Astyanax mexicanus: one gene and its partners. The protein of the gene in region 1 interacts with the protein of each later gene in a pairwise test. Links are inferred from orthologs where the notes say so. Each region holds a gene or a part of one and is shown in the gene's direction. Other genes may lie near its edges.

Evidence for each region.
Region 2: the proteins of mtmr9 (region 1) and mos interact in binary tests that used the Homo sapiens proteins (3 or more experiments, as listed by UniProt). The link is inferred for Astyanax mexicanus from reciprocal best matches to the Homo sapiens genes MTMR9 and MOS.
Region 3: the proteins of mtmr9 (region 1) and emilin1b interact in binary tests that used the Homo sapiens proteins (3 or more experiments, as listed by UniProt). The link is inferred for Astyanax mexicanus from reciprocal best matches to the Homo sapiens genes MTMR9 and EMILIN1.
Region 4: the proteins of mtmr9 (region 1) and nmi interact in binary tests that used the Homo sapiens proteins (3 or more experiments, as listed by UniProt). The two-hybrid records come from large-scale screens. The link is inferred for Astyanax mexicanus from reciprocal best matches to the Homo sapiens genes MTMR9 and NMI.

The regions. Positions count from the first base shown.
Region 1 is NC_064408.1:71,153,738-71,161,791, reverse strand, and holds the start of mtmr9 (myotubularin-related protein 9), read left to right. Parts: upstream 1-4,395; 5' UTR 4,396-4,503; intron 4,504-5,792; 5' UTR 5,793-5,793; coding exon 5,794-5,975; intron 5,976-6,435; coding exon 6,436-6,544; intron 6,545-7,021; coding exon 7,022-7,147; intron 7,148-7,276; coding exon 7,277-7,450; intron 7,451-7,538; coding exon 7,539-7,756; intron 7,757-8,054. UniProt on the Homo sapiens protein: Acts as an adapter for myotubularin-related phosphatases. Increases lipid phosphatase MTMR6 catalytic activity, specifically towards phosphatidylinositol 3,5-bisphosphate and MTMR6 binding affinity for phosphorylated phosphatidylinositols.
Region 2 is NC_064425.1:6,570,398-6,577,648, forward strand, and holds mos (proto-oncogene serine/threonine-protein kinase mos), read left to right. Parts: upstream 1-4,692; 5' UTR 4,693-4,755; coding exon 4,756-5,799; 3' UTR 5,800-5,952; downstream 5,953-7,251. Other genes in the region: transcription factor RelB, read right to left, coding at 1,133-1,144, 2,199-2,247.
Region 3 is NC_064421.1:627,258-635,165, reverse strand, and holds the start of emilin1b (EMILIN-1b), read left to right. Parts: upstream 1-4,522; 5' UTR 4,523-4,775; coding exon 4,776-4,909; intron 4,910-4,915; exon of another isoform or gene 4,916-6,743; intron 6,744-6,851; exon of another isoform or gene 6,852-7,908. UniProt on the Homo sapiens protein: Involved in elastic and collagen fibers formation. It is required for EFEMP2 deposition into the extracellular matrix, and collagen network assembly and cross-linking via protein-lysine 6-oxidase/LOX activity.
Region 4 is NC_064418.1:15,939,995-15,948,795, reverse strand, and holds the start of nmi (N-myc-interactor), read left to right. Parts: upstream 1-4,996; 5' UTR 4,997-5,068; coding exon of another isoform or gene 5,069-5,267; 5' UTR 5,268-5,307; intron 5,308-5,453; 5' UTR 5,454-5,617; coding exon 5,618-5,650; intron 5,651-8,190; coding exon 8,191-8,238; intron 8,239-8,345; coding exon 8,346-8,504; intron 8,505-8,801. Other genes in the region: protein mono-ADP-ribosyltransferase PARP14-like, read right to left, coding at 262-286, 1,814-2,001, 5,069-5,267. UniProt on the Homo sapiens protein: Acts as a signaling pathway regulator involved in innate immune system response.

The DNA.
Region 1 (8,054 bases):
ACTGTTTCTAAACACAAATAATCCAATCAGCTTATTTATATATATGAATATCTATCTATCTATCTGTCTGTCCGTCCGTCCGTCCGTCCGTCCTTCTATATACACCTTCATGTATGTTTGTGTATATATGTTTATATATCTGTGAAAAACATTGCTAAACATAAGCCGTGATCACAATAATTTATCAGCACTGTTTAAAGATAAGGTTACCATGTATCCCCTAAGCTCTGATTACAAAACAACACATGCTTTGGTTCCCAACACCACAGCTAAAGCATTCCAGTGTTGTCAGTTCCCACTGTCCGCTCTACTTTCACAGCATCATAAATCCTCAACACCTGTGCCCCCAGCAGGGAGGCATTTACCAGGATTAAGACACTGTTACATTAAGACAAATTCCATCTCTTTGGCTGCCAATAGCCTTGGACTATTCTATGATGCTAAATAATTACTGTCCTAAAGTGATATCTTAAGCTTATTTACGGCATATTAATTTTTATTAAATGTATTAAAAGATCCTGCAGACTTACGAGAGAATGGGAAATGTGATTCAATAAATATTTGAGCCCTTCCAACAAATACTATAACTACATGTTAACCATTTCTTTCTTACAAGAGAAATCAGTTATTTTATTAACTACTCCATAATATTTCCTTAAAAGAGCCTAATGAAGCAAGTTTTTTATGTGAAAAATAAGAATTCTTCCAAAAAATGAGAAATGCTCACAACAGTCTGATCCTGTGTAAAGAATGCATACTGTGAGAGGGCTTTATCTCCACTGAGAATGAAGGCGAGCGAGGAAGGTGGAGGAAGATGAGCTCAAAGAGGGGTGTGTGGGAAGAAGAACAAGGAGGATGATGAAGGTGGGAGATGAGAAAGGAGGATGAAGGTTATGTGATGCATGCAAAGAACAAAAGGTTGGTGTGGGACATGATGAGAAATTCATGACTATTGCATCTCAAAAACTTAGGAGAGGGTGACGCAATGATGGAGGCTACTGTAGAACAGACTGTACTGTAAACACATTGGACATTTTTAGCCTCGGCAGCCTAATAGATTGTAAGTCGCTTTGGACAAAAGCATCTGCCAAATGTAATGTAATGTAAGGTAATAAAAAATAACATTTCTAAACTTCTCTTCTTGCCCAATTCATGCCCTCATATGTCTCTTTATGTTCTCCCTTCTTGTTGTTTGTGTACAGAAAACTGTGGCCATGAAGGATACATCAGCTGCATCCTCAAAATCACTAAATGCTGGCTGCGTTTCACAGCTGTATATGAAATCCTTTACTTGGAATAGCTGCAGCCTAGCTTTGGAACAGTTTTTTTTTACTTCTGTGTGAAACGATGAGGCTGAACTCCTGCAGACTGATAAGTAAGTGGATAAGTGTTAATGTATGGAGTTTTGTGTCATTACAAAAAGTGTAAATGTCAAATAGGTTGTTTTTCTCTTTGCAGTTTAATATCCCTTTGGACACTGTATGGACTTAATCACTTTATCAGTGTTTTGCATTGTACATTAAAGCAATGAAACTTTTTTTTTTATCATATGGGTCTTATAAAGGAGCAACGACTGGAAAATGCTTTGGGTAACACTACTTTTTTATATTTGTCCAATATATTATTAACCCTTTATCCATGTTTATTTTAAGCTTGATGTGTGCTGGGAAATGAAAGCTGTGTGCAGAGGTCTGTAAGCTGCCTTCTGCTGCACTGCAGCCAGTTCGCTGAGGAGTGCATTACACGACAGCAGCTTTAGTGAAGCTGGTCAGCCCACTCTGTCAGTGTCAGCTGGAGGCCCTTTTTGTGTTTCAGAGCAAAGGAAATCTCATAGAGATGTTTGATGAGAAGCATTAACCCGGAATAACCGGCATTTCTGGGCCACTGTTGGAGAGTAGAGCCTATCAAAGCGGCTCCAAACGTGGCGAAGCAGCATGTGTGAGATGCAGTGTGTCGCGGCATTGCAGCGAGGCGGATGGCTCATCAAAGCACACTTGCAGTGCTTCATGGCCTTTAAGCTTTTAACAAGCCACCCCTGTCATGCCACAGTAACAACACAAAGACAAGATTATTACAGCACCACATAAAAGTGGTCGCTGCAGACACTTCCAGACTTCCATATAGAGGACTGATATGCCATAAACCTGAGCTGATAGGCTAATGCATGATCTCGTCCTCTCAACGCTCATCTCCACAGACAGACACCTTTGTTTGGTTACAGCCGCTAAAATATCAGCTCTTAGTCAGGAGAATCTGTTTCCCCGCACAAACCCCATACATTTTTAATGAGAGCAAATGGAGCCACGCATTTAGGAGTAGTGTGGGATTCATGGCGCACATGTAACTCAAGATAAATAATGCAGTCTCTACGATTGCAGCCATTTCCCTAGAGGCCCCACATACTCTCATCACCCCACTCAACAGGAGGCCTTTCTACTTTGCAGTATATCTTTCAACAATTACACTCTATAAAAAATAATGAAATAAATGGTTTCATGGCATGGGCATATGGTTCCTGGAAAAGGGCTTTAATTGGTGTAGAATATTTTTACACTATATGGAGATTTTCTAGACCACATTTAAGCATGTTTTAGAGATAAAAATGCTCTACCAACAAAACTCTAATTAGCAAACTTAACAAAAAAAAAACAAGAAGACTGGGAAGTTCCACTTTATTTCAATATCCAGTCATTTCAGTCAGAAAGAAGCTGACCAAGACTTTACATGTTCTGTTCGTTTTTCCAAAGTTGTGCAAATACCAGCTAATTACTGTAACATCCAACAGCTTGAAATCTCTAAAAGTATATTTGACATCTTACTCCCGCCTCTCAAGTGAGTCTTAGGATTCTCCCACAAATTGATTGTGGTTCCCTGGCACCTAACATACACAATCCCAGAAATTGGTACACTGTATATGAACCACTTGCACAGTTTTTGGGAGTGATGGAATGAGCAAATGAGTGAGAGAGGTTACAGAGAGCAACCTGATTGGTCTGATTGGTTTCTTGCTCAGTAGATCTACTCTGGAGTAGCTGAACCATGAAACAGAGAATCGTTCCAGAACAAATCATCCAATCATCCAATTGTAGCTTAAAAATAAATAAATCAGTAAAGGGTCTAATGTTCTTTTGTAGTAAACGATCTCAAATCAAAAAAGTTGAGTTAGAACAGCTAATTAAAATAAAAAAAAATCTGCTTTCCAAACTCGAATAATGCAAAGAGAACAAGTTAATTTTCATTTTAATCAACAATACTAATAGTTTAACCCAATAAGCATTCAGAAATCAATATTTGGTTAAATGATCATGTTTTTTTGATGCTCTCCACCAGTCTTTCCCACTGCTTTTGGGTAACTTTATGCCACTCCTGGCTCAAATATTTAAGCTTTAGCATTGTTTGATGGCTTCTGACCATACATCTTTCCTTTGAAAATTGGTCCAATTTTCAGCTTTGCCCAATACCTGGTCCTCTATTGGTTAGACAAAGTCCTGGAGAGGCGTACAAGCCAGACTGTCCTTGCGTCCACTGTGAAATTTGGTTGAGGATCTGTGATGATCTGTGCGTTGTTCAGCAAGGCTGGAATCAAGTCACATTCAAGGTTCTCCTGCATCCAACAGGACAATGCACCATGCCACACAGCTAGGTCAATTAAGGTGTGGATTAAGGACCAACAGATCAAGACCCTGCCATGTCTAGTCCAATCTCCAGATCTGAACCCCACTGAAAACCTCTGGAATGTAATAAAGAGGAAGCTGAATGGTTAAAAGACATCAAACAAAGCTGAACTGCTTGGATTTTCGCTTCAGAAGAGGCATAAGGTCACCAAAAGCAGTGTGAAAGACTGGTGGAGAGCATGCTAAGACATATAATAGCTGTGATTAAAAATAAGGAATATTCTACCAAATATTGATTTCTGAATTCTTCTTAAAATAAAATGTTAGTATTGTTGTTTCTAAATGAATATGAACTTGTTTTTTTTTGCATTATTTGAGGTTTGAAAGCACTTCACCTTTTTTGTTATTTTGACAAATTTTATGCAAATAAATGCTCAAAATGACAATATTTTTATTTACAATTTAAGAAAAATGTTGTCCATAGTTAATAGAATAAAACAACAATGTTCATTTTACTCAAACATATACCTATAAAGAGTAAAATCAGAGAAACTGATCATTTTAAAGTTTTAAAAACATATTTTGTTGTGGGTTGAGACTGAGCTGTTGTAACCTGTCTTACACATTTAACCTATATCGTACATCTCAAACACACACACACACACACACACACACACGCAAGAAGAACAGGCACGAAGCGTGCCTAGAACAGGGAGTACTGATCTGAATCAGGACGCTGTGTTCACTGAGTTGTGAGTCAGGTGTTCACCGGTTCATCCGGGTCTGTAGGCGGCGGTACTGTCACGAGTCTGCTCGTCGGCCGCCCGCTGTGTGAAGAGCCGAGAGAGAGCAAAACATCAGAGAGAGGGAGAGAGAGGAGCTGCAGCAGGTAAACTACAGTCATTTACTACCGGAGTTTAACTACAGTCTTTACTACAGGAGGGTGACAGCTCGAGCCCCTGAGAGAGCAGTGTTCTCTGGAGTGGGCGCCGGGTTTAGAGTCGCTCCAGACTCGCGTTTATACTGGATACACCAGACCCTGAATCCCAGTTCAACAACAGCTAACCTAACCTAGCCACCACAGCTACCAGCTCCGGAGAGGGGCAGCGAGCTCTGTTAGCGTAGATAAATCAGTGAATTCTCTAACATAGATCTCACTAAACGTTCCACTAAACCTCGCTTCAGTCCAGTTTAAAGCGGCTCTGCTTCATAAACCAGTGAAGGAGGTTCGTTCGTCTGGACTTCGGCTCTAGGGGGTGTTGTAGGGGTGCAGGCCAGGTTAAAGGATTGAGGGTATAAACATCAGATTTCTCATTAAAAACAGGCCACAACAGAATATGTATATATGTGTGTGTGTATTTATAATAATTAGGGCCGTCAACGTTAAAACGTTAAAGCGTTAAAGCGTCAACGCAGGTGATTAATTTGAACCAGTTTTGCGCCATAATCTGTCCCACCCAACGCGTGGATTTTATTTCTGAAGCGGTTGTGGTGATAATGTGATGTCTCTATCTGACCCAGCTATCAAATATAATTATTTTTATTGTGCTAACTGCCCACATTTGGGGTAATATCACGAGACGAGACGAGACACGACACTGGGTTCACAAGAACGAGACGAGACGAGAAAAAAAAATGAAAGAAAACGTAAAAAATGAAAAAGTTTTATTTGACAAAATCATATAACACACACTTAACAGACTGGTTTCTCTCCCATTTTGATTCTATAATTAATAGAAATAAGAATAAAGAAAAAATAAATATAAAAAATAAAAATAAAACTTTTCTAGGTCTTATATAGTGCAAACAATAAGTGCAAACCACAACCAGTCATATTAAGCCTATGGTTTGTGTTTTTTTTCTCCTAAATCTCTTGTAATTTAACTATGCAGTGTTTTTTTAGGCAGTGTTTTTATTATTATTTATTTTAAAATTACTTTACATTTTTCAATATTTGGACATATTGATTGGAATACAAAAATATTAAAATAATCCAAAATAATTTATATATATTTAATTTTATTTAAAGAAATCTCAAAGATACTGAAATGAATACTCAGACAGTTCCACTGCTTCAAAGCTCCACTCCCCAATTTATTATTTTCCAGTTCTTCACTTCTTAACATATAACTTTCACTTGCTTCATGTCTCATCCCAAGTCTTCTTGTTTCTGTCCAGGATGGAGTTCGCCGAGCTGATAAAGACCCCCCGAGTGGACAGTGTTGTTCTTCACCGTCCTTTTCTGCCAACAGTGGAGGGAACTTTGTGTCTCACTGGCCACCACCTCATCCTCTCCTCTCGACAGGACAATACAGAGGAGCTCTGGCTGCTTCATTCCAACATTGATGCCATCGATAAGAGGTTTCCTGTGACATTAGTTTTCTTTTTTTTAGGGCAGTAACTGATTGCGTTTACTCATACTCAGTATGGGAAATTTGGGGGAAAAATGAATTTGTTGCACAAGGGAACATGATTTATTACTGGCTGCAGATGCAGTCCATCAGCCAATACATATTTGCATGTATTTTGTTTATGAAAGGGAATGCTAGGTTAATGTGGCTTACTACTACTGGGCTTGAACTGTCATCACAATAAACCCCTTTGCCTTCAAACATAGCCAATCCCTACCTAGTCCTACAGTATTCAGCAGTGGCACATCTTTGCCTTTATATTGTGAAGAGTTAGTTGGCAGAATGTGATATAAAAATGGTGTTGTAAATTAATAAATGATTTAATCCTAGACATATGTGCCTAACGCTGTTAAAATTAGAGATGGTCAAGAAAGAAAGAATACATTGCATGTAAAAATCCTCTGTTTTAGGTTTGTTGGCTCTCTAGGCACAATTATTGTGAAATGCAAGGACCTGCGAATTATTCAGCTGGACATCCCTGGCATGGAAGAGTGCCTTAACATTGCCAGCTCCATTGAGGTGGGTTTAAATATTTACTTAGAATAACTGTAGTCAGACTTGTCATTATTAATCACTGAGACAGTTTAATCATTGATTTGGTCTGAGACCCTGACCTTCTTTTGGTGTGTGCCTGTAGAGTTTATGCTTACACAAGTTGAACAGGCTGGTGTTTTTATCACGGGGTGTCATAAAAAAAAAAAAAAACTACATGGCCATAAAACAGAAATATATTTCCTTATGTTTACATTGAAAGTCAGTGTATCAGTGTATGTGAACAAATTACAGACCTGACAGCTTTTTGATAGGGTATATAATTTTCTTATAAAATTTATTTTTCAGGTGGTCACTGAATTAATCATTAAGTAACTGGTACAAAATACAATGATTACTAATGTACATATTAGATACAATTTTAGCAAATACATTGTGAAAAATATTGTTGTTTGATAAAAGGATTGGTATTACTGGTCTTACATCCAGTCTCCCCTTCTTTAGGCATTGTCCACGCTTGACTCTCTCTCCCTGATGTACCCTTTCTTCTACCGCCCTATGTTTGAGGTCATTGAGGATGGTTGGAACTTGTTCTCACCAGCGGAGGCCTTTAAAGACCTGGAATCAATGGTAGAGTTTTATTGTTTGTGAGGACAGTATGGATATGCTTTACTATTCAAAACTTGTTAATCTCTGTTTGAAAAAAGCAACACAGAATAATAAGCCTAAATGTACTTTTTCCCTGTTTCCTGCTGACAGACAGATGAGTGGAGACTTAGTGAAATTAATAAAGACTTTGCCGTTTGTCCCTCCTACCCATCACTGGTGACTGTGCCCAAGGACATAGATGATGACACTCTTTGCAAAGCTGCTGCATTTCGCCATGGAGGACGCTTCCCTGTGCTCAGCTACTACCACAAAAAGAACGGCATGGTCAGTTAGGAACTTTAACCATTGGTTGTTTTGTTTAAGGTCGAATCAAAAACGAATGGATGTAAAATATCTCCTTCCTTGTTTTTAGGTGATGATGCGAGCAGGGCAGCCGCTTACAGGAACCAACGGCCGCCGCTGTAAAGAGGATGAGAAACTAATCAACGCTACACTCCGTCCAGGAAAGCGTGGGTACATCATCGACACCCGCACCATTGCAGTAGCACAGCAGGCTAAAGCTCGTGGAGGCGGGTTTGAACAGGAGGCCAATTATCCACAGTGGAGGAGAATCCACAAAGCTATTGAGAGGTGAGGGAACGCTGTTTACGAGAAGGATAGTAAGTATATAAGAGGAATGAATGTAGTTTCAGCTGATATGAATCGTACTTGCATTTTTTTTGACAGAACACTTGAAGAAGAACTAGAAGTGTTTGATCATTGTGATTCATGTAATTTAAAAATGGCCGTAATAAAACATGGCTACAATAAATACAGCTCTGAAAGAAATCGAGAGACCACTTCAGTTTCTAAATCAGTTTCTCTGATTTTACTATTTATATGAATATATTATATATATATTATCCTTTAGAGAATTTATGTGCAGAGA
Region 2 (7,251 bases), on another chromosome or scaffold:
TTAACAGCACCCCGGATAAAAGACCACCTAGTATTTTTGTTCAACACTTTTAAGTTACTACATGATTTCGTATGTGTTCCTTCATAGTCTGGAATTTAATACACTTTAGTATTCAATTAAAATGTAAGGAAAAATCACTTTATAAAATGAATGTGTTAGTGTGATTTCTAGTTTAATTCATTTTATGGTATTAAAGAGAAAATAAATGTTAAAATACATGTCATGGTAATTGTATATATTTTGTGTTGAGTGTTTATGATGAAGTAAGTTTTGTGGGCTTGATGTGTGGGTTATGTTAGTAGATATGGTGGGGGTTAAAAGCAATGTGGGCGGAGTTCCTGAATGTTGTATAGTGTGTCGAGATGGTATTTTTTTATATAATTATTTATTTTAATTTGCTCTTTTATGTTTATTGTGGGAAGTCTGAATTAATGTGAGCTTCTGAGAGTGTATGCCACTATGCACTTTACCGATTTAATATAATGCGCTTTATTGTTTTAAATGTATTAATTTGTTTACTCATGTGAACTGATCTGCCTCTATTACACAAATGTTTTTTTTTTACAAATAAGAATTTGCTCTTATTTAACTAGCCTAGGCCTTACATTCTTGTTATTTTTATTATTATTATTATTATTAGGTTCAAGATTCAATAAATTGTATTTTTTACACATCACAAAGTACAGGTGTACATGTGAGTGAAAGACTTGGGTGCAGGTTCCCACTAGTATGTAGAGAACAATGTTTACAACAAAGTACAATAATAAGTTAAAATAGAAATATATAGTTAACTTTACAGTATACATAATATACACAATACACACAATAACTTACAGACTATAGACATACAGACATATGGTACTGCACGGAAATATGTTAAATATGACTAAAAAATATGACTGAAAAATGCAGATATCTATAGTGCGTGTGTGGAAGTGAGGAAATGGTCCAATAGATGAACTAGATGAATAGAGTAAAGTGCAGGTACAGAAAGAGTTGTGTGAGAAGTTGTTATTATTATTATTATTATTATTATTATTCAATTTCGTTTATTAATACATTCAAAATAATAGAGGCTGGTATACTGTATAATATTAAATGTAAAATGATATGATAAAAATGGTCCACTTACCAAGGTCGAGAGCTGTGGAGGAGAAAAACAGCACCAGTTAAATCCACAGACTAACAGACAAGGAAAGTGAAACTGAAAGTCTTAACAGCCCTGCGGGCTAACAGACAACAACACCATTCTATTCCTACACAATAAACCGCACCAGTCCCAGATGAGGTAGAATAAAGCATATACAGCATGTGAATTGATTGAATTGAGCTGATTTGCCTCTTCTAGATCACGCAATGCTGTGTAACGTCAATAGTAGGAACTAGTATAGAGAAAAGACGGAGCACCATGACTAGGCATAGTTAGCTCGGTTACCTATTCTAGCTAATAATAAGCACATTATAATAATAATAACAATAAAAATAAACATTATACACCTAATTAGAGACTAATTTATATCTGATTATTTAAGGGTTTGTTTTTTAAAGCCAGATTTTTCACTTTTAAAACTAATAGTAGTGAATCCGGGACCAGAAAAGTAAAATCCGCCCCAGAATCCAGGTCCAGAGATTAGCTAGAAATCCATTCCAGGATTTTGTCTTAACTGCCAAAGAAAGCTGCGCTGCAGCGCCCAGGAGCCACGCTTTCTTAGGCGGTTGGAACAAAATCCTGGAATGGATTTATAGCTAATCTTTGGACTTGGATTTCACGCCTATGTCAAAACGACATAAATACTAACATTCATCGTTTATTATTATTATTATTATTATTATTATTATTATTAATTTACGCTTTTTAATACCAATAAACACACTGTAGACAGCCGGATAGTGCTGTAAATGAATTGATATATTTATGAAAATGCTTAAATTCACAAATAGATACATTTATAAATACATATTTTTTCTACATAAAATCTACCAAAAACGTACAACTATATTATTATGGTTTGTATAATTTAGGAAAAAAATATGACATAAAACCTCCATGGCTAACTTTACTTCTTACAAAACGTGTCTTTCCCAACCTACATGCGCACAGCTAGCCTTAGCGCGCGCACAGAGTAAACAAGCGTTTACAGACCTTTTACAGACTTTTATCGACACGTTTATAGATGTTTTAGCTCGCTGTCACTTACCGCCAGTGCCTAGGGTACCGTTGCGAGCTGGTCCGTTCATATTTCTCATGGCAGGTGAAGGACTAGGCTGGTAAAACAGGGTTAGTCTGGTACTGGGCTGAGGTCCGGTTAGCTGGGTTATGTACTCATTGGAGCTGTACTAAAGGTCGGTGACTGCGGCTCTGAGTCTCTGCAGCGCTGCTGTACTTCTGCTTCTGCCCGTGTATCAAAATAACTCACGTTTTCTACCAAATTCGTTTCACTTTGTGCCTCTTCTAGCCCGAGCTGACCGGGTGGAAATCCCCCTACGTCACTGCTGGGAAACCCCCCCGCGAGTCGGCGCAGTAAGAGCGCGCGGTAACAGGTGAGCTGCAGCACGAAGGGCCCGAGGATCAAAACAAGAAAACGAGAGATGGAAACATGCCCCTAAATGGCTGCGCTGAAACATGGTAGACAAATAAGAGTTTCGTGAGGAAAGCACCTTCTAATGAACTGTTTGTGGGGTCACACTTTTTAAAGATTAAATGATATTATCAGGGACTGTAAGGGATATATATATATATGGGCGGGCCCTTAACACAGCTCTGGATAAAATTAAGAGAGCACTTCAGTTTCTGAATCAGTTTGTCTGATTTTGCTATTTATAGGTTTATGTTTGAGTAAAATTAACTTTGTTGTTTTATTTTATAAACCACTTTAGAGCGTTTATTTGCAGAAAATGAGAAATATTCAATATTTCAATATTTAGTCGAATAACCCTGCTTTTTAATCACAGTTTTCATGCATCTTGGCACGTCCTCCACCAGTCTTACACACTGCTTTTGGGTAAATTTAGCCATTCCTGGTGCAAAAATTCAAGCAGTTCAGATTGGTTTGATGGCTTGTGATCATCCATCTTCCTCTTGATTATATGTTTTAGAGGTTTTTCAATTTGATAAAATCAAAGAAACTAAAATATTTTTAGGTATAGATTTAAGGGTTTGTATTGAATTAAACGTAAATTAAAGCCAGATTTTTCATTTCTAAAAACTAATAGGTATGAATCCAAAAAAGTCCAGAAAAGAATATGCTGTTAAGTAGCAATGGATTTTTTTTTTTACCTTAACGCCTTTGTATGCAGTACAAAGGATCTTGTCTGGAAAACTAGACAATAGAGGCATTCAAAAACTTTTGTCCGGTTGCGTGTATGTATGTATGTATATATATATATATATATATATATATATATATATATATATATATATATATATATATATATACATACATACAACAATAAGTCTGTATGTATGTATATATATATATACATACATACAAACAATAAGTCTGCATATGTTCCTGTATAGATTTAATGTCTTTATATATATATATATATATATATATATATATATATATATATATATATATATATATATATATATATATAAAGACATTAAATCTATACAGGAACATATGCAGACTTATTGTTTAACAAATATACTAAACAAAATGTAATTAACAAAACATATGTTTTATACTTTAGATTCTTCTAAGTAGCACATTTATCTTTGAGGACAGATCTGCACACTCTTGGTATTTTAATATATTATATAATAATATATAAAGCTCAAAGTTATAGTGTGTGAATGCAGACAGCACTAAAACAGTCTGTGTGGGTTTTTGGTTGTGTTTTAATGATGTGTGATGGACAGAGTAGTAGGTCAAACAAACAGTTGATGTTTAAGGTGGGATGAGACTTTCAGTGTGCGATTCTGAATGATAATTTTGACGTTTATGACATCAAAATTATCGTCACAGCAGCGTGATAGTAAAAAAAAACATAATTATCTTAAATAACCATTAAATAATATATTAATTATAACAATATCATTTAATTACAATAAATAATAACTGAAAAACAGTAAAACAGAGCATAATATCTCTACGTGTTTTCTGCCCTCTGGTGGATAATCTTTGTAAACAATCTCAGGTTGTATTTCCTAAATGCTTGGCTGTATTACAAAATAAAAGTCATAGGCTTGTTGTTTAATAATAATAAAAAAATAATAATAATAGTTAATCAATTAATAGTTAATAGAAAATCAAATAAACTTTCTGTTTCTGGCAAGATGCTATAAAGGGCATGGAGCATGCCCTTACAGCAAGGAATTGGAATCAAGCAAACCAGGGGTGATTATAGGATCAAAGTTTCTCTTTTTTAAATTAAAAAAATACATGTTGATTAATATCTATGTGTTCAATTTGAGACGGGTGATATGGCACATTGTTTAGATTAAAAACAAAAATGGACTGGAAATAAATGGAAAGGAAAACACTTATTTCTTGTACACTGCACTACATTTAAAAAAAATAAATAATGGAGATTTTACATCCATTTTTTGTAAATTTACATTTAGCCTCCAATTGTCAGAAAATTAAATTAATAAACGTTACACTGACACTTGAAGGTTAGTTTAATAATAATAAACAAACAGAGTTTGACCCAGTTTGACCCTAGCGGTCACGTGACATCTACAAAAGCACGCACGTGACATATAGGAGGCAAATCCAAAATGTTAGAAGGCGCTGCTGCTCTCCCGCCATGCCTTCTCCCATCCCCGTTACCCGTTTGCTGCCACGAGGCTTCGGCCTCGACCTCGGAACCCTCAGCAGCCCGCTAAGCAGGCGCGCGGGTGCATCATCCTCCCTGCGTGTGCCCACCGCTACCCACGGAAAGCTCGCTCAGAGACTCTGGTCGTCGGCGGTGCAGTGGCGCGAGCTGCACGAGCTGGAGCCCATTGGCTGCGGGGGCTTCGGCATGGTGTTCAAAGGCACGTACTTTGGAGAGACGGTGGCGGTAAAGCGCGTGCGGCGGGCGAGGAACACGCTGGCCTCGCGCCAGAGCTTCTGGGCCGAGCTGAACGCGGCGCACCTGCGCCACGACAACCTGGTGCGCGTGATTGCGGCCACGACGATGATGCCGACGACTACAATTAAGACTGCGACGGCTTGTGCGCGCACTGGGGACAAGAACCAAGAGGAAGATGATCAGGGGCGCGTGGGCACCATCGTGATGGAGTTCGCGGGAGACGTCAGCCTGCAGCAGGTGATCTACGGGGCGGGGCCGCTGCCCCCCGAGCTGTGCGTGCGCTACGCATCCGACGTGGTGTGCGCGCTCCGTCACCTGCATGCGCACGGCGTGGCGCACCTGGACCTAAAACCCGCCAACGTTTTGGTGTCGCGCGCGGGCGTGTGCAAGCTCGCGGACTTCGGCTGCTCGCTGCAGCTCGGGCGAGACCACGCGGCGTGCGCCCTTGAGATCGGCGGCACGTACACGCACCGCGCGCCCGAGCTGCTCCGCGGCGAGCGTGTGACTGCGCGCGCCGACGTCTACTCGTTTGGGGTCACTCTGTGGCAGCTGCTCACGCGCGATGTGCCGTACCGTGGCGAGCGGCAGTGCGTCATCTACGCCGTGGTAGCGTACGGTCTGCGGCCGCAGCTGGACCGGGACGTGTTCCACCGGAGCTCCGCGGGGCGCGCGTGCGCAGAGCTGGTGAGCTGCTGCTGGAGCGCGGAGCCGAACCTGAGACCGAGCGCCGAGCAGCTGCACTCGGACCTGCAGCAGATCTCCCTTCTAGTGTTTTAGTCTTTCATTCTTCTGCTGTATTATCTCTCCTGCTTACTGTTAACTCTGTAAATACTGTGAAGAAATGTTTAAATATGGTTTGTAAATACATGTGCAGTTTTATATGTTTCCAAAGATTATAATTAAACTTTAATGTTATTTTTATTACTCTAAGATTGAGTCCTGCGTTGTTGTTATATGCGAAATTCATACATATAATCTAACAGTCAAAATGTGGATGCACCTTCTTATTCTATGTTAATTCTATGATTTTTATGCCCTACATTGTAAATATAATACTGAAGTAATCCTGAATATGAAGAAAAACAAGGAATCATGTACATTTAAGAAATCTATACCCTCCATGGCATGGTGTAGGTTGCCCTTAAGTAACAAACCACTTTTTGGTTATTTAAATGTTAAAAAATAAATAAATAAATAAATAAATAAATATATATATATATATATATATATATATATAAGGGTTCTTCAAAAGTTCTTTGGTGAAGGTAATAGTTCTTCATAGAACCATTAACACTCAAATAACCCTTTTTTGGTACTATATAGAACCCTTTTTTCTAAGTGTATACAGGATGTAAAAATGGTCTCAGACTGGAGCACCTGAGCTCAGGACATTTACAATGACCATTATTAACCAAAGGCACCCAGCAAAATATATAAATAATGAAAGAAAAAAAACAACAAAACTAAACCAAAAACAAGAAATGAAAACAAATTCCTACACAAATAAATCAACCAAAAGAAAACAATTCTTAATGTTTTATATTATAATTCAAATGACTGGAGAAATGTGTAGGAATGGTGTATAGATTTTGTGTATAGATTTATTCAGATTTAATTATTCCCTAAAATTGATAAATTACATAAGGCTATAATCGTACCTTTTGGTGTGATTTTGGATATTTTATTTCAACTCTTATATTTCATAAGATTATAACTCAAATGAGATGGAAAATGACTGGGTGTGGTGTGTTGTGGGTAACTTCATTCAGATTGGCACAAAAAACACTTGAATTTTCTAAAATTGTCAAATTATGTAAAGCTATAGTCTTACCTTTTGTTGTCATTATGCACATTTTTTGCAACTTTTATATTTCATGATATTAGAATGATATTGAAATGACTGGGAGTGTTGTATTGTCTCTCAATTTATTCAGATAGTCAATAAATAAACACTTTTAACTTATCCCTAAATCTTTCATCTTATAACTCAAATGGCTGGGAAAATGCCTGGTAGTGGTGTATTGTGTTTAATTAATTCATATATGCAATAAAAACACTTATCTTCACCCCCATATTGTCAAATTATGTAAGGGTATAGTCTTACTTTTTGGTGTGATGTTGGACTTTTATTCCAACTCTTAGAATCTTTTATCTTATAACTCAAATGAGTTAAAATGCCTTGGAGTGGTGTGTTGTGTGTAGTTTTATTAACATAGGCAATAAAAAAAC
Region 3 (7,908 bases), on another chromosome or scaffold:
GTCTATAAACACCCTCAATAATCACTTCTATACACTAGAATAGGAGATATTAGTCTATAAACACCCTCAATAAACACTCCTATACACTAGAATAGGAGATATTAGTTTATAGACACCCTCAGTAATCACTCCTATACACTAGAATAGGAGATATTAGTTTATAGACACCCTCAGTAATCACTCCTATACACTAGAATAGGAGATATTAGTCTATAAACACCCTCAATAAACACTCCTATACACTAGAATAGGAGATATTAGTTTATAGACACCCTCAGTAATCACTCCTATACACTAGAATAGGAGATATTAGTTTATAGACACTCTCAATAATCACTTCTATACACTAGAATAGGAGATATTAGTCTATAAACACCCTCAATAATCACTTCTATACACTAGAATAGGAGATATTAGTCTATAAACACCCTCAATAATCACTTCTATACACTAGAATAGGAGATATTAGTCTATAAACACCCTCAATAATCACTTCTATACACTAGAATAGGAGATATTAGTCTATAAACACCCTCAATAATCACTTCTATACACTAGAATAGGAGATATTAGTCTATAAACACCCTCAATAATCACTTCTATACACTAGAATAGGAGATATTAGCCTATAAACACCCTCGATAAACACTCCTATACACTAGAAAACAAAACAACTTTTATATCATACAAATATAACCTAAGTAAATATATAAAGCACTATTTAAATTATCATTTCATTTATTAAGTGAAAAAAAAACCTATCCAAACCAATTTAGCCCTGTGTGAAAAAGTGTTTTGCCCCCCATAAATTAACTGCTATTAATCACAAGTTTTTTGTGAAGCTGATTTCAATTTCACTACTAACCACAACCAGGCCTCATTACTGATTCCAGACCTGTAGAATCAAGAAATCACTTAAATAGAAGCTGTCTGACAACAATAAAATCAAAGAACAATAAAAGCAGATAACCACAGTGATTCACTATTATTCACTAATGGAGAAAACATGGTGAACACTGGTGAACCTTCCCAGGAGTGACCGGCCGACCGAACAAAATTACTCCAAAAGGGCATGAAGAACTCATCCAGGAGATCCCAAAAGAAGCCAGAACAACATTTAAAGAACTGCATTTCTCATTTAAATTATATTAACTCAGGTTATATTTGTCTGTAATTAAAATGTGTTTGTTAATCGGAAAAAAAATTATGATAAAAAAGCAAAAACACCACAAGAAATCTGTAGGAAGGCGCAAATACTTTTGCACAACACTGTATATACAATATAAAAGGAGATAATTGTCTATAAACACCCTTAATAAACGCTTTTATACGCTAGAATAAGATATATTATCATTAGAATGATTTGTAGTATTTATTCAGTATTCCTCTGCTGCACTGTTTGCTGTGTCTCTGAGAGAGGGTGCATTTGTTTCTGATTGAGCTCCTGCATAATTTGGGGGAAAATAAAAGGGTCCAGGCAGCAGAATTTCGCTCATTAAAGCAACACGTGCTTCCTTTTAATAGCGGCGCTGTTTTACCACCACACAGCGAGATCAGATCAGTCCAGCTCAGCCAACACCGGCCAGATCTGCCTTCAGTCCAGTTCAGTAAACATTAAAAACCCACTGTTTTCCAAACAAACAAACGATCAAATTGATATATTAGGCGCTCAGTAAACTACTTAAAAAAAAGTTAATGTGCTAAACATTTGCTTACACGCAGATTAGAGCTATCTGGGCATCTGCAGACCCTTAAAAAGTCTTAAAAAATCTTTTCTTTATTTAAAAGAAAGAAAGACCTTAATTTCTCTTAAAACATCTTCCAAATTTGATATGCAAGTTAGTTTACTGATTTAACAGCAGAATGAACCAATTGCATTATTTAATGCTCTAAAGGACTAAAGATGTTCTCAGATACGCCCAATACTTGTTTTTATCTAGCGTAGATGCTACTGTATGCATGGGGAAAACTATAGACTTGGGGTTAGATAGGATGCATTATTTTGTGTTTGAACATGTATATATAAATATTTGTTTGTCAGATAATACAGCAGCGTACTGTTTAGTTTGTAAACTTAAATTTGGTGTTGAGCTTATTGCTGTTTTGTTTTTTGTTTGTTTTAATTGTATTAATTTTATCTCTGAGTGATATTATAAATCTAATTTACCCATAGGTGCATTTGCTCTTAGAAATCTAAGGCTAAATTAAGATGATTCTTACTGACCATATATTTTCGCCTTTACCTAAAATCAACTGGGAGAAAGGTTTTCCTACTCCTCCATGCAGAATTCTTTCAGCTGCGTGATGTTTGACAGGTTTCTTGTATGAAAATCACCCCACAGCATCAGAGTACAACCTGATCTAAAGAGTAATTTTTACAAATCTGACTTAAAAAGACAATTTCTGGATTTGTACATTTGTGTGTATAAATTCACCGCCTCCTTTTTATGCTATTTTACAGTAAGGGTTATAAACTGATGATTCTGGGGGAATTGTTGGACACTCCAGATGGAAAATTACAGTTTTTAAAGTAGAGTTTTTTTAAAGAAATGAGATGGAAAATGGGTGTGGCTTTGGGTTGTGTTATTGAAACATGCGGGGATGGGCGGAGCTACATACACATCATACTGCAACCAGCCAGCAGAGGCGCTAGACCTGTACAGTTATTCATTAGCATTCATTCAATTATAAAACAGGGTTACAGTGAACACTGATGTCTTATGCATGTTACATATTATGTTCTGTGTGTTATTGATTATTAAATATTAAGTGTATGAAAATCAATAATCTATAATCTATAAATCTACACAGAATTCATATTGATATCAGTCAGCAGGTTATAAACTGCATGACTGAGCCGAGGGGGGGTGGAGATGGTGGTGGTGGGGGTGTTGTTTTAGTGTTAAAGTAGGATGTCCCGAGGTCACAGGGGTCACCTGAGGACAGGTGATATAGGACACTGTGCCTGTGGTCACCTGTGGTGAGCCACATTACTGAAATACCCCGTATACCACCCCCAACACCCCACCCACCACTGCAGGCTATTTCAGCCGAGGAATTCATAACGGCTTCCTCAGATACCAGGAAAATCCTCCTGTAGCTGCAGCATCTATATATACAACTGTTTTTATTTAGCATCACAGAGGATTCCGCTATCAACAAAGCAGCTTTTACAGTTTACAGATACACCTGAAAGAAAAGCTGCTACAGTGTTACAATAAAGTACAAGGCTTTTATTTGATTTCAGACAGCATTAAATCAAGATATTTCATATTTATTAAGCCCTATCCTTCCTCCTGCCTGGTTTAAACAGCAGCAGAGCTTCTGAATATATCTACACTGATGGGCGTGGTGTTCTGGAAATGAGGTGTGTTCAGGTACATTTCTGGAGTTTTATCTTGTTTATCTTGGTAACAGAAAACACAGGAGCTCCACTGACTGAATACAACCTAGACAGACGCCAACAGTCAGACGATCATCGCTATCTCGGTAACACAGGCGCCGTGCCGAGCCGAGCGTACACCCCCACTTATTACACACACATGAACACACAGCAGCACAAACCCAACTTTTACATCAACAATAAACAGAATAGTAAATAAAATAACATTGCTGTTCCCGTAAATGAGCTGCTGGAGCTCCTTCACAGCGTCAACCAGCAGCTCAGTTTCCTCTGCTGAGAAGAGTTTGTTGAACACGTCCAGGTAGCTGCACCGTTACAATAGCAATCCACCAAAGACAGAGCTCACCTGATCTACTCTTAAAGAGAATGATGAGCAAACAGATGACACTCTAATTGGTTTATTTATTTCATATTACGCCCAAAATTAATTAAACACACCCATGATTAATTAAGAGAATTATTACATGACTTTGCTTTGCATTTAGAGCTGTGCAAGGTGTACTTACTTTTCCCGTCGTTACGATAGCAAAGACACACTGACACGCCCTAAATCAAATCAACAGTTTGCTTACAGATAATAATATTTTTAATAATATAATAATGTTGAAACATGAAATACGTTGGGTTCATACTGTCTGCAATGAAATGAAAGTTAACCTTTTTTTATTTTGACAATATTTTGAGTGTTATATATATATATACATATATATATATATGTATATATATATATTTATAGAAAATTTCAGATTAATTTTAATTTTAATTGCATAATGCTGACTGATTCTTGTTTTTTTATTGATGTTCAACAGAATTAGCTGTTTTTCACTGTTTTAAAAGCTGTTTTAAGCAGATTTTAAGCAGATTTTTGGAGTTTACCGGTTTAGAGACACGTGGCCTGATTCACTTTTACTGAAAACAGGCCCGGGAGTGAGCTGTGGTACTGATCCAAAAGTGTGTGTGTGTGTGTGTGTAAGAGTGTGTGTGAGGGTTTTCTCTGAGATTACTCATTTTGGGAGTAGAGGGCGGGGAGTAAATGTGGGAGGGGCTAGTGTAGGAGGCGGGGGAGTGGGTGGAGCCTGCACACAGGCTGCTCTGGAGCTCAGAGGGACCTCCCAAACTCAGCAGAGCCCTGGATCTGAGCGCCCGGACTGGATGTAGCTGATCTTCCAGAGCCCTGAGAGAGCCCGGGGGAATGGCAGCCGGGCTGTAGAGGGTCGTACCCGCCCTGCAGGAGTGTGTGTGTGCCCGGGGAGGTGTGTGTGTGTGCCCGGGGAGGTGTGTGTGTGATGAAAGCTGGCATGAGGAGCTCAGAGAGGAACACTTGAGCAGCTCCAGAGGAACTCCAGTCTGTGTTCTGTGTCTGAAGTGAGGGATGGACCTGCTGCTGGTTCTGGTTCTGGTGCTGCTGGGGCTGTGTGGCAGTGCCAGGAGTGCGTGGCACAACCAGCGCAATGGGCTGGCACACACACAGGTTGGCACGGCGCCCCGGGCGGCCAGCAGACACAGGTAAGATCATTTTACAGCTCAGAACTTCTGGGTGGGAGCTCTGCTGTACGGGCTGGAGCTCATTTACTCACTTACTGAGATGTGTGAGGTTCTGTTTGTGGTTCTGTTTGTGGTTCTGTTTGTGGTTCAGTTTGAGGTCCAGTGTGGTGCAGAGTGAGTTATGTTCTGATTCACACATCAGAACTACTTTATCAGACTTTATGAGGTTCTGTTTGAGGTTCTGATGGATTATATTTAAGGTTCTGAAGTTTGAGATTCTGTTAAGGTCCAGTCTTAGGTTAATTTTGAGGGATTTTTTAAGGCCCTGAATGAGATTCTGTATGAGATTCAGTTTAAGGTCCAGTTTGGGGTTCTGTTTGAGAGTTAATTTGAGGTTCTTTTGCAGTTTGATTTAAGGTTGTGTTTGTGGTTCTGCTCAATGTTCTGTTTGAAGTTGTGTTTGAGGTTCAATTTAAGTTCTGTTTTTTGTGGTTCAGTTTTGTCTAAGGTCCTGTTTAAGGCAATGTTTCAGTTTCAGATTCTTTTTGAGGCTCTTATTAGGTCCAGTTTGAGGTTCTGTTTAGGCTGGTGTTTGAGGCCCTGACTAGGTTCAGTTTGTGGTCTAGTTTGAGTTCAGTTTAAGGTCTTTTTTGAGGTTCTGTTTAAAGTCTTTGTATCAGGTCCTGTTCAAGATTCTGTTTGTTGAGGTTCTGTTTGAGGTCCAGTGTGAAGCAGTGAGGTATGTTCTGGTTCACACACCAGAACTACTTTATCAGATTATGAGGTTCTGTCTTAGGTTCTAAACGCAGCCCTGTTCATGGTTCTGGTGGATTATATTTGAGGTTCTGAGGTTTGAGATTCTGCTTAAAGCCCAGTGTAATCCTCTTTTTGAGTTTCTGCATGGTGTCCAGTTTGTGGTTCTGTTTGAGAGTTAGTTTGATGTTTTGTTTGAGGTCTGATTGGGTTCGGTTTGAGGTTTGATTTGAGGTTGTTTATGGTTCTGTTTGTGGTTCTGTTTGAGATCCAGTGTGATGTAGAGTGAGGTATGTTCTAGTTTTTACACCAGAACTACTTTATCAGACTTTATGAGGTTCTTTTTGAGGTTCTGATTGTGGTCCTGTGGCCCCGTTCATGGTTCTGATGGATTATATTTGAGGTTCTGAGGCTTGGGATTCTGTTAAGGTCCAGTATAAGGTTTTGAGGTCCTGTTAAATGCCACGTTTGAGGTCTGGTTTGAGTTCAGTTTAAGGCCCAGTGTAAATGTTTGTTTGAGGTTCTGTTTGAGGTTTGATGTAAGGTTGTGTTTGTGGTTCTGCTTGATTTCCAGTTTGAGGTTCTATTTGAGGTTTTCTGAGTTCTGTTTGAAGATGTGTTTGAGGTTCTGTTTGAGGCCTTTTTCATGGTTCTGGTGGATTATTTTTGAGGTCCAGTCTAAGAATCTGTTTAAGGTCCTGTTTCAGTTTCTGTTTGAGGTTCTGCTTAAAGGTTCCGTTTGAGGTCTTATGTGAGGTTCTGTTTGAGGTCTTATGTGAGGTTCTGTTTCAGATTCTGTTTGAGGTTCTATTTAAGGTTCTGTTTGAGGTTCTGTTTCAGTTTCTGTTTGAGGTTCTGTTTGAGGTTCTATTTAAGGTTCTGTTTCAGTTTCTGTTTGAGGTTCTGTTTGAGATTGTTTGTGGTTCTGTTTGAGGTTCTATTTAAGGTTCTGTTTGAGGTCTTATGTGAGGTTCTGTTTCAGTTTCTGTTTGAGGTTCTATTTAAGGTTCTGTTTCAGTTTCTGTTTGAGGTTCTATTTAAGGTTCTGTTTCAGTTTCTGTTTGAGGTTCTGTTTGATGTTCTATTTAGGGTTCTGTTTGAGGTTCTATTTAAGGTTCTGTTTCAGTTTCTGTTTGAGGTCTTATGTGAGGTTCTGTTTCAGTTTCTGTTTGAGGTTCTGTTTGATGGTCTATTTAGGGTTCTGTTTGAGGTTCTGCTTGAGGTTCTGTTTAAGGTCCAGAGTGTTCCTCTAACATTCTCTGATATATGTTCTGTTTGCACCGCAGACCCACTTTATCGGATCAGAATCATGAGTACTCACACTGTTTGTACCATTTTATAAAACTGTATATAAACTGTATATAAACTTTATATAATCTGTATTGTGGCTGTATGTGGACGCTCTGCTTTACCTCACACTGAGAGAAAACTCGACCTGACAGCACATACAGCACTAAATACATCACTGTTAGATGTGAGACACTGATTTATAGCTCTTTTATGAATCTGATCACCTCTCTCTGGAGTAAAGTACACGCCCACTGTGTAGTAAACGCCAGCATTAATGCTGGAAATAGCTCTGGTGTTTTAGATACAGGAAAAAGGAACTGCTATTATAATCAATATTAATAACTACAACTCACCATTATGAATATTATCTGAGTAATTTAACCCAGTATATAAAAGAGCACTTCAGTTTCTGAATCAGTTTCTCTGATTTTGCTATTTATAGGTTTATGTTTGAGTAAAATGAACATTGTTGTTTTATTCTATAAACTACAGACAACATTTCTCCCAAATTACAAATAAAAATATTCTCATTTAGAGCATTTATTTACAGAAAATGAGAAATGTCTGAAATAACTAAAAAGATGCAGAGCTTTCAGACCTCAAATAATGCAAAGAAAACAAGTTCATATTCATAAAGTTTTAAGAGTTTAGAAATAATCAATATTTGGTGGAATAATCCTGTTTTTTAATCACAGCTTTTTCATGCATCTTGTCATCATGTTCTCCTCCACCAGTCTTACACACTGCTTTTGGATAACTTTATGCTGCTTTACTCCTGGTGCAAAAATTCAAGCAGTTCAGTTTGGTGGTTTGATGGTTTGTGATCATCCATCTTCCTCTTGATTATATTCCAGAGGTTTTTAATTTGGTAAAATCAGAGAAACATCATTTTTAAGTGGTCTCTTATTTTTTTTTTACAGAGCTGTATCTATATACATGGGTGCAGAAGTTGTACTTAAGTAGAGTAGAACTCAATT
Region 4 (8,801 bases), on another chromosome or scaffold:
AGTACAGCATACTATAAGTATATAATATAAATCACTATAAAATGTACAGATTTATACCAGTCTAAACGGTAAAACTGCATATAAACCAAACATGAACAGTATAACATTTGTAGTCTAAATAATATATTTTTAAACAAATTCTAAACTGAATAAATTGTATATAAAATATTATATTAAGTATATAAAGTATACATTTATTTGCATTACAAATACAACAGTAATACATTGAGAGTACGCTGAGCATAATAAGCATAATAATACCTTCAGGAATTTCAGAGACAGACTCCTTTACAGCAAATCCATGTAAAAGACAAAGAGATTAAACAAATTGATCAGGAATATACTCTATACAGTACTGTGCTAAACATCTAGGGTTTCATTATATTTGTTTAAAGCTGCTTCAGGGTTTCTTAGCAATAAATGTGTTTTTGCCAGAAAAATACTACGGATGCAATGAATATAAAAATTATTTGGCCAAAAAACAAACAAAAAAAAAAACATGTAGCACAATAAAACTTGTATATATGTTTTTTAAGAAAGCATACAGCTCACTTCAACCTTATCAGCAGTTTCAGTCAAAGAAAAATTTTAAATCTGAAAATCTACAGAGATTTCCTCTAGCGGGCTTACCTTAGCCCTAGCCTAGAGTAGCACTGCTGAGATAAATTCAAAATGGAATATGAGAATAGCATTTATGCGGTAAATTTATGATCAGAAAAGCACAAATGGCATAAATTCATAATAAGAATAGAACTGCTGAGGTAAACTCATGATCAGAATAGCACAAACAAAGTCAATTCATAACAAGAATACCTCTACTGAGGTGAATTCATGATCAGAATAGCACAAATAAAGTAAATTCATAACAAGAATACCTCTACTGAGGTGAATTTATGATCAGAATAGCACAAATAAGATAAACTCATAATAAGAATATAACTACTGAGGGAAATTCATAATCAGAATAGCACTAATTAGATAAATTCATAATAAAAATAGCACTGCTGAGGTAAATTCATAGTCAAAATAGCACTAATGAAGTAAATTCATAATAACAATAGTAATGCTGAGGTAGATTCATAATCAGAATAGCACTAATGAAGTAAATTCATAATAAAAATAGCACTGCTAGGGTACATTTGTGAACAGAATAGATAAGTATGCTGAGATATATAAAACAAAACGTTAAAATGTTTTGTTTTATAATAGTTTTTTTCTTTACAATACAACTAAAAGTATATTTAGGCATCTTTTATTCATTCAATGGTGAATTATTGAAACATTATTTAAAACTGTAAAAAAAAACATCCCCTTTATTGGTCAATTGTTTGATATTGTTGAATTACTGTTTTGGACAAAAAAAAACATATCAACTCATCCCTAGCCTTTAGTTACTGATATGTTGTGTGAAAAAACACACATTTTGTTCTTAATTGTGTTACAGGTTTAACTATAAAAATAATAGACATTGTTTTTTGGCTTTTCTTGTTCTTTCTAAAATGCAAAAACAAGAATGTGAAACATTCAAACACATAAATCTATTGCTGTGTTGTTTATGAAGGTCTGATCTGAATGGAAGGCTTATCATATATTTAATCTGAGTCATGGTTTTATACTTCCTTATTAACGTCATGATCAGCATTGCTTAAATGCTTTCATTTTCAGATTCCCCATTGTCTTGTCGTTTCTAATAAATCAGGAAAATAAAGTTTATTTGATTAATGAAACGTCAGGTTGGACTTCCCCTAGAAAAACGAGCTCCTCCGGCAGGTGTAACAGTGTTTTGCAACAAAGATAAAAACAGAGAAGTCACCTGGACGTCAGCGGCTTGTGCTGATTTGCTGAGTTCAAGTTTTTCCAGTTTGGGTTTGGGTAAAATAGGAGGTTTCATTTTTTTTAAGGCTGAGCTCTCGTCCTCCAGACGTTTCACCGTCACGTCAACAAGTCCCCGTCCTTTAAAAGCCACTTGGTGAACTCTCTTCTCCAGTACTTTATTTAATTCTGAGGATTAGACAATGATAATGCATTATTTGACACGGTTCAGACTTACAATTTATAAATACGACACAATAAAATTATTAACTAACACTGATCCACCATAACATTAGTACCACTGACAGTTGAAGTAAAAAACATTTCTCCCAAATTCCAAATATAATTATTGTCATTTAGAGCATTTATTTGCAGAAAATGAGAAATGGCTGAAATAAAAAAAAAAACATGCAGAGTTTTCAGACCTCAAATAATGCAAAGAAATTAGGGTTTATATTCATAAAGTTCAGAAATCAATATTTGGTGTAATCACAGTTTTTATGCATCTTGGCATGTGCTCCTCCACCAGTCTTACACACTGCTTTTGGATAACTTTATGCCGCTCCTGGTGCAAAAATTCAAGCAGTTCAGCTTGGATTGATGGCTTGTGATCATCCATCTTCCTCTTGATTATATTGCAGAGGTTTTCAATTTGGTAAAATCAAAGAAAAATCTGAATTTTAAGTGGTCACTTATTTTTTCCAGAGCTGTATATGGACATGTGCATTAAACGCTGAAATGCAGTCATACATTTTACACTTACCATTTATCTCCAAAAGTGCCCAAACACAACAGATTCCATATTTACTCACTAAATATCAGTATTTTCCACATTAAAGGACATTTATATTGAATGTTTAGCGTGTTTTTTATTTTAAAGCAATTGACTCCTAATTGTTGACTAACTGACTAACTTAAAAAAATCATCATATTTGTCTACCAAAATAATCATTATTTGCAGCCCTAAATAATAATAATAATAATAATTTTAGTTGACCTCAATATTATCTGTAATGTTTTTGTGAGCAGGAAAGCCCATTAATATGAATGAGCTGATATTTGGCTTTTTTACATTTTATTTATTTATGATATTTCTTAAATTACATTCCTATCCCAATGAAATTTAAGAGATATCCAATATTCCAATTCCAATATTCTTAGCTGTTAAAAGTTCCATCTTCTTTAAAATGATGTAATTGTATTGTTATACAATTATACAATACCTAAAATATTGGCATAAAAATGGTTGTTAAAAGATTATTAGTATTAATAGCTATTGTGATAAGACTAACATATGATAGTGTAAGCAACTGAGTCAGGACATCAAAATATTAGGCAGGTCACGTGGGGTGTTCCTGGTATGCAGTGATGACTGAACAAGTAACGCCTCATACATTACAACTTAAAGAACATAAAGGATCTGCTGCTAATGTTAGTCTTAGTGCCAGATACCACAGGCCTCCTCTTTTAGTTTTTTTTTTTTGGAGTTTAAATGGTTTTTGCCTTAAATGGTCAGATCTGTTGTTGTAGATCAAGGGGAACCTACTCAGTATTAGGCAGCTGGTAATAATATTATGGCTGACTGGTATGTACAAATTACACAAGAAAAGTCTCTGGGTGCCACCATGTTGAAAATAATTTTAAACTAACAATTTTTAAATCATTTTATGAATGAAAGGTTAGAATAGGGGAACATATTGCAGAATTAATTCTGTGTAAATGCATGAAATTGAGCTGTTGCTAAAAAAAACAGATCTATAATAGTCATGCATTTAAATGAATAACTACCTGAAGGTACTGTGTGTATAAACAGTGTTTTTAATAAACTACCTGCTCACTTTCGAAGTTCTCCGTGCCTCATTTTAAAATCGGGGCCTTCAGTGTGGAGCCACTTTGAGCTAGTTATTGTTGTAAAAATAGCAATTTCTTTGCTGTATTTTGGAATGCTGGAGAAAAACAGTGCTGGGCTATTTGACAAAAGTTTATACTCATTATCATGTTTCACTACACCTCAAGTCCATTTCAAACTGTATTTCTCCTTTAAGATACACAGCAAATTTGGCAGTGGTAAATCAACACTTTAAGGGGGGTCAGTTCTCCAGACAGGGATTAAGCCTAGTCTCTGACTACACACTATTTCACTGAAGATTTTCCATTGAAAGGAAAACATAATATACGAATAGACTAAATTTCACAGTCTGGAATACTGCCCTTAGTGTTAAACTATTGTCTAACAATGTTCATTTAACCCTTTTAGACCTGAATTATGTTCTCGGGATGGAAAAATATAGGAAGACTGTTTTGTGTCTGTAAAGCACACAAAAAACTATTATCGACACTAGTATCCTAATATAAAATCCATATAAAATAAATCCAACTAACCCAGATTTTTAAACATGATACAAAGTGTTCTAAGTCTCTTGTACTACTTTGCCTCATTGGTTCTATAGTGCTGACATGCCCTAATGTCCAAGTTGCTGTTTTTTATTTTTTTCAGTGCAGTGGGTGGGGCTAAGCTACTGTTTCACTGGCTGGTTTATGATCTTTTCTGATGGACAGGTGAACAGGTCTCAATTAATGTTCTGTTCTGTTCTAAAAAAAAAAAAATACATTTGGAAAGAGAAACTACATGATGTCCATTGTAACTGATGCAGGGTCTGAAAGGGTTCAATCTAGCAGTCGCATTGTTGATTTAACACTGACAAGTTTTGATTACACACTAAAAAAACTAGATAAAAAAGTTACACATTTCATAATTGTACCCTCAAAGGTATAATATTGGTCTTTACAGGATCAGATGTGTTCCGTCTGAAGTACAAAGTCTTTTCTAACAGCAGGAAGTAGAGATTTTTACCAGTTAACCAGCTTAAAAGTACATTCTGTATTCTGAATCACTGTACCAATAAATAATATATATTTTAATTATACATTTTTATCATCAAGTCCTTGACACATGTTCAATTGATGATAATGTTTATAATTTTTATAATCTTTACTGGTAACGTTACAAAAACATGTTTACAAAAAAGTCTTTCAGTTAAAGATACTCTGTTGTACCTCAATATAAGGTACTGCCCCAGCAACAAGTACATTTTTTTCTTAGTAGGTATGTCAAATCAAATCAAAATATTTCTAAATAATTTGGAGTATTACCCTAGTCAAGAAAAGAGGGTACACCTCCAACGACTCCAAAATTAGTTTAGTCCCATTTACTCTTCTCTGAGAGAAAATAGTAGTTTTGGCTTTATGAACGTACCTCCTTCATCCATGTAGATAAGTCGAGCTTTCCTCTGATCTTCTGGATGCTCCTGGATCTCCAGGATCTCTCCTCCAGACCGTCTCTTGTTCTTGAAGTACAGTTCTAGTTTGGACTTCACACGGTGAAAATCATCTGGAAGACCCTCCAGCTCCAGTGTTTTCTCATCCTGACTCTGTTTTCTTTTGGCGGTCTCCATCTCGACGTTTAGAATCTCAGATAAACTCACAGAAATCTCAGTAAGAACTTTAAAAATAACTAAAGTAAAGTTGAAGACAGTCTCCTGAACTGTCCATTTCAGACAGCTGTCGGAGGAGCTCGCTGAAGCCCGTCCGAACTGTACTGTACTGTACTTTACTTTACTTTACTTTCACTTTTACTTCAGGACACTCGCCTGCTTTTCCAGGAAGAGAGACACAACCCGAACACAACCACAAACAGCGGGGAGCTACGCCAGATAAATCCCATTTTTACTCGTTATTCGCGCATTTATTTGCGTTTCTTGTGATTTTAAAGGGGAGACCAGACCTCGGCAGAAATCTGTTAGAGATGACGGATACAGGGGAGCAAGTGAACGGCGAGGTAAGCGTGTTTTGCTCGTCTCGGGATTCGCCCCATTTAAAAAAAAAAAAAAAAAAAGAAAAGCTACGAGCAATAGTCGTTAATCATATACCAGTTTATTAAAACGTGTAGCAATTGATTTATTTTTATCATACGCTCAATGCGATTTTAGATACGATTAGATACTGTCGCGCTTTGTAACGTCTTTATAGCCTGTGTTCTGTCGAGTTGTGCTACCCTGTCAAATCGTGCTACCTTAGTGTATATTTAAACGTAAAAATACACAAATAGGCACTGTTTAAGAAATATGCTTCCAAAGGTATGCTTCCATAAGCTTTATCTAACTCACTGTATGAAAAAAAAAAAAAGTTACGGCAATGAGACCTGATTAGATTTTTAATCATAAGATTTTAATCATAAGATTAATCATAAGATTTTTAATAATAAGATTTTTGTATAGCTTATTATTGGTATTTTTTATTCATTTTTGCTATTTATACTTGTCTATCACTTAAACAAAGAATAACAGTGAGTTGACGTTAAAAGAAAAATCATAAATCATAAAAAACCGTGGAAACATTACAAAAAATGTGAGTCCGCGCAGGCGCACTGGAGAAAAGAAGCATATATCGATGGGAAGCACAACTCGACAGGACACCCCCCGGTTAGAAATGTCGGCGAGAGAAGACCGAGTGAGCTACGTGAGAGTAGCTACGTGAAATACTGTATCCAGTTTCTTAAAACGTGTAGCATTTTTTATTATGCGCTCAATGCGATTTTTGATACTCTCGCGCTCCATAACGTCTTTAGAACGTATAGCTCGTTTCACATCAAAAAAGGGTCAAATTCTTAACTCTCAGGTGTGGGTTTTCCCAGTATATTATTTAGATTTTCCGGTCCACCTTAAAAAGTCGAAATACCAATAATGCGCCAGTAGAGAGCGGGATTGGGCCAAGACAAATTTGGCATTTAAGAAATATACAGCTCTAGAAAAATTGATTGATTGATTTTAGCAAATTGAAAGCCTCTGGAATATAATCAAACCATCAAACCAAGCTGAACTACTTAATATTTTGCACCAGAAGTGGCACAAAGTTATCCAAAAGCAGTGTGTAAGACTGGTTGAGGAGAACATGCCAAGCTGCATTAAAACTGTGATTAAAAACCAGGGTTATTCCACCAAATACTGATTTCTGAAGTGATTAATTATAAAAATGAACTTGTTTTCTTTGCATTATTTGAGGTCTAAAGCTCTGAATCTTTTTTGTTATTTCAGCCATTTCTATTTTTTTTTTTTGCAAATAAATGCTCTAAATGACAATATTTTTATTTGGAATTTGGAAGAAATGTTGTCCGTAGTTAATAGAATAAAACAACAATGTACATTTTAATCAAAACATATACCTATAAATTGCGAAACTGAGGCTGAAGTGGTCTTTTAATTTTTTTCAATACATTCAGAGAATAAATGGCCTGTTCTGCGGATTTCCAGTTGCCCTAATTCCAAATGACTAAATAATCTGATAAAGGTAACACCAAATTATAATAATATAACTATTACACTGTAAATATCCTAAAGGACAATGAATATTATTGAACAATATTTTTTATTATTATTATGACCCTCTGAACTTTAGCATTAGATGCCAAAGTTGTCTTGCTTGGCCCAATCCCGCTCTCTACTGGCACAACATTGTTATTTCTACTTTTTAAGGTGGACTTCAAAATCCGAATAAGAAGCTAACTTCAGTCTCCTGGTTTTACAAAAGCTGCTGAGCAAATACCTAAGTCTTAGATGGATGAGCGAGCATTACACTGAAGACTCCATGTTTATAGGATTTACTTAATGCTAAGATACTTCTGGAAACCTGGGTCCAGTTCAGTAAAAGTCAGTGTGCAATTTTGGAACACTTCTGTTGGTCAGTGGTCAAGATGTTGATTGACAATCTGAGAAATATGGAGATTTTTAAACTTCATGAGTTTTGACTGACTTTTAGTTGTTCTCCTTCTTTTTTCAGAATAATAGATAATGGCTATAGTGGTTTTAACAATATTTTTTATCTATTTTGTAGAACTAATAACATCAAGTTATATCAAGTTTGTCTTATTTTATAGAAATAATAAATTGAACTTGTTTTCTTATCATTTTTGACATTCTTTTTGGAAATAATTGTTTACCTAAATATTAACATTCTTTTGTCGATTTACTTTATATAAAAATGACTATTTATTAATCCTTGTGAAATAAAAAAAAACTTTTCTGTATATTTAAATAATTTTCTCATGATTTAAAGTCTTATTTATAATACTTTTCTATTTTCACTGAAAATGAGGCACCTGTGGTTTTGTATATATTATCTGAATAATTTCTGAATCAAAGACAAAAGTAAGCAGCATTTGGTTGTAAGAGGTTAATAAGTATACATGTATCAGCTTAAGGTGCATCTATGTGTTATATCAACATTATATATTAAGTTGGAATTGACTGTGGATTTTTAAGGATGTTTTTAATTTTAATTATATCTTTTTAACACAGTGTTTTTGATGTTTCTATCATATAGCAGTTGCAGCAGATTGCTGACGCTAGGGAAGAGCTGGAGAAATGGAAGGTAATGGAAGCTAACAACACTTGGCCTGTATTCTGTAAGCTGAACAATATTTACTCATGGATCTGATTTGGTCAGGTATTTGTTTAATACGCTTGTGCTCCTATCAGAAATTTGTGGAAGCTGCAGATACAGAGAGGTCCAGGTTGATGCTGGAAAAGATGGACTCAGAATCTATGAAGAAACAAGCCCAGCAAGAAACAACAGAACTGTGGAATGCTACAGAGCAGCTCACAGACAAGTTCGACAAAACAGTGCAAGACATACAGGTATGCTGTGATCAGGTATTAACTATTAAATGCTGTCAATGTTAATGCATTAACGCACACAATTAATCTGGAAACTTTAACAGATTTATTGTTAAGTTACGCATTAATCACATGACCAAATTTACAAAGCCTGGTGATGTATTAGAGGTTTTATTTGACCATATAACAGCTTACTGTCGAGTTCAGAGGATAGATTACTTTTTATTTACGCTGAAATATGGATTAAATATCATAACTCCCTCTTTCTCTTATTGCACACACAAACACACACACACACACAATTTTTTCGGTTCACTC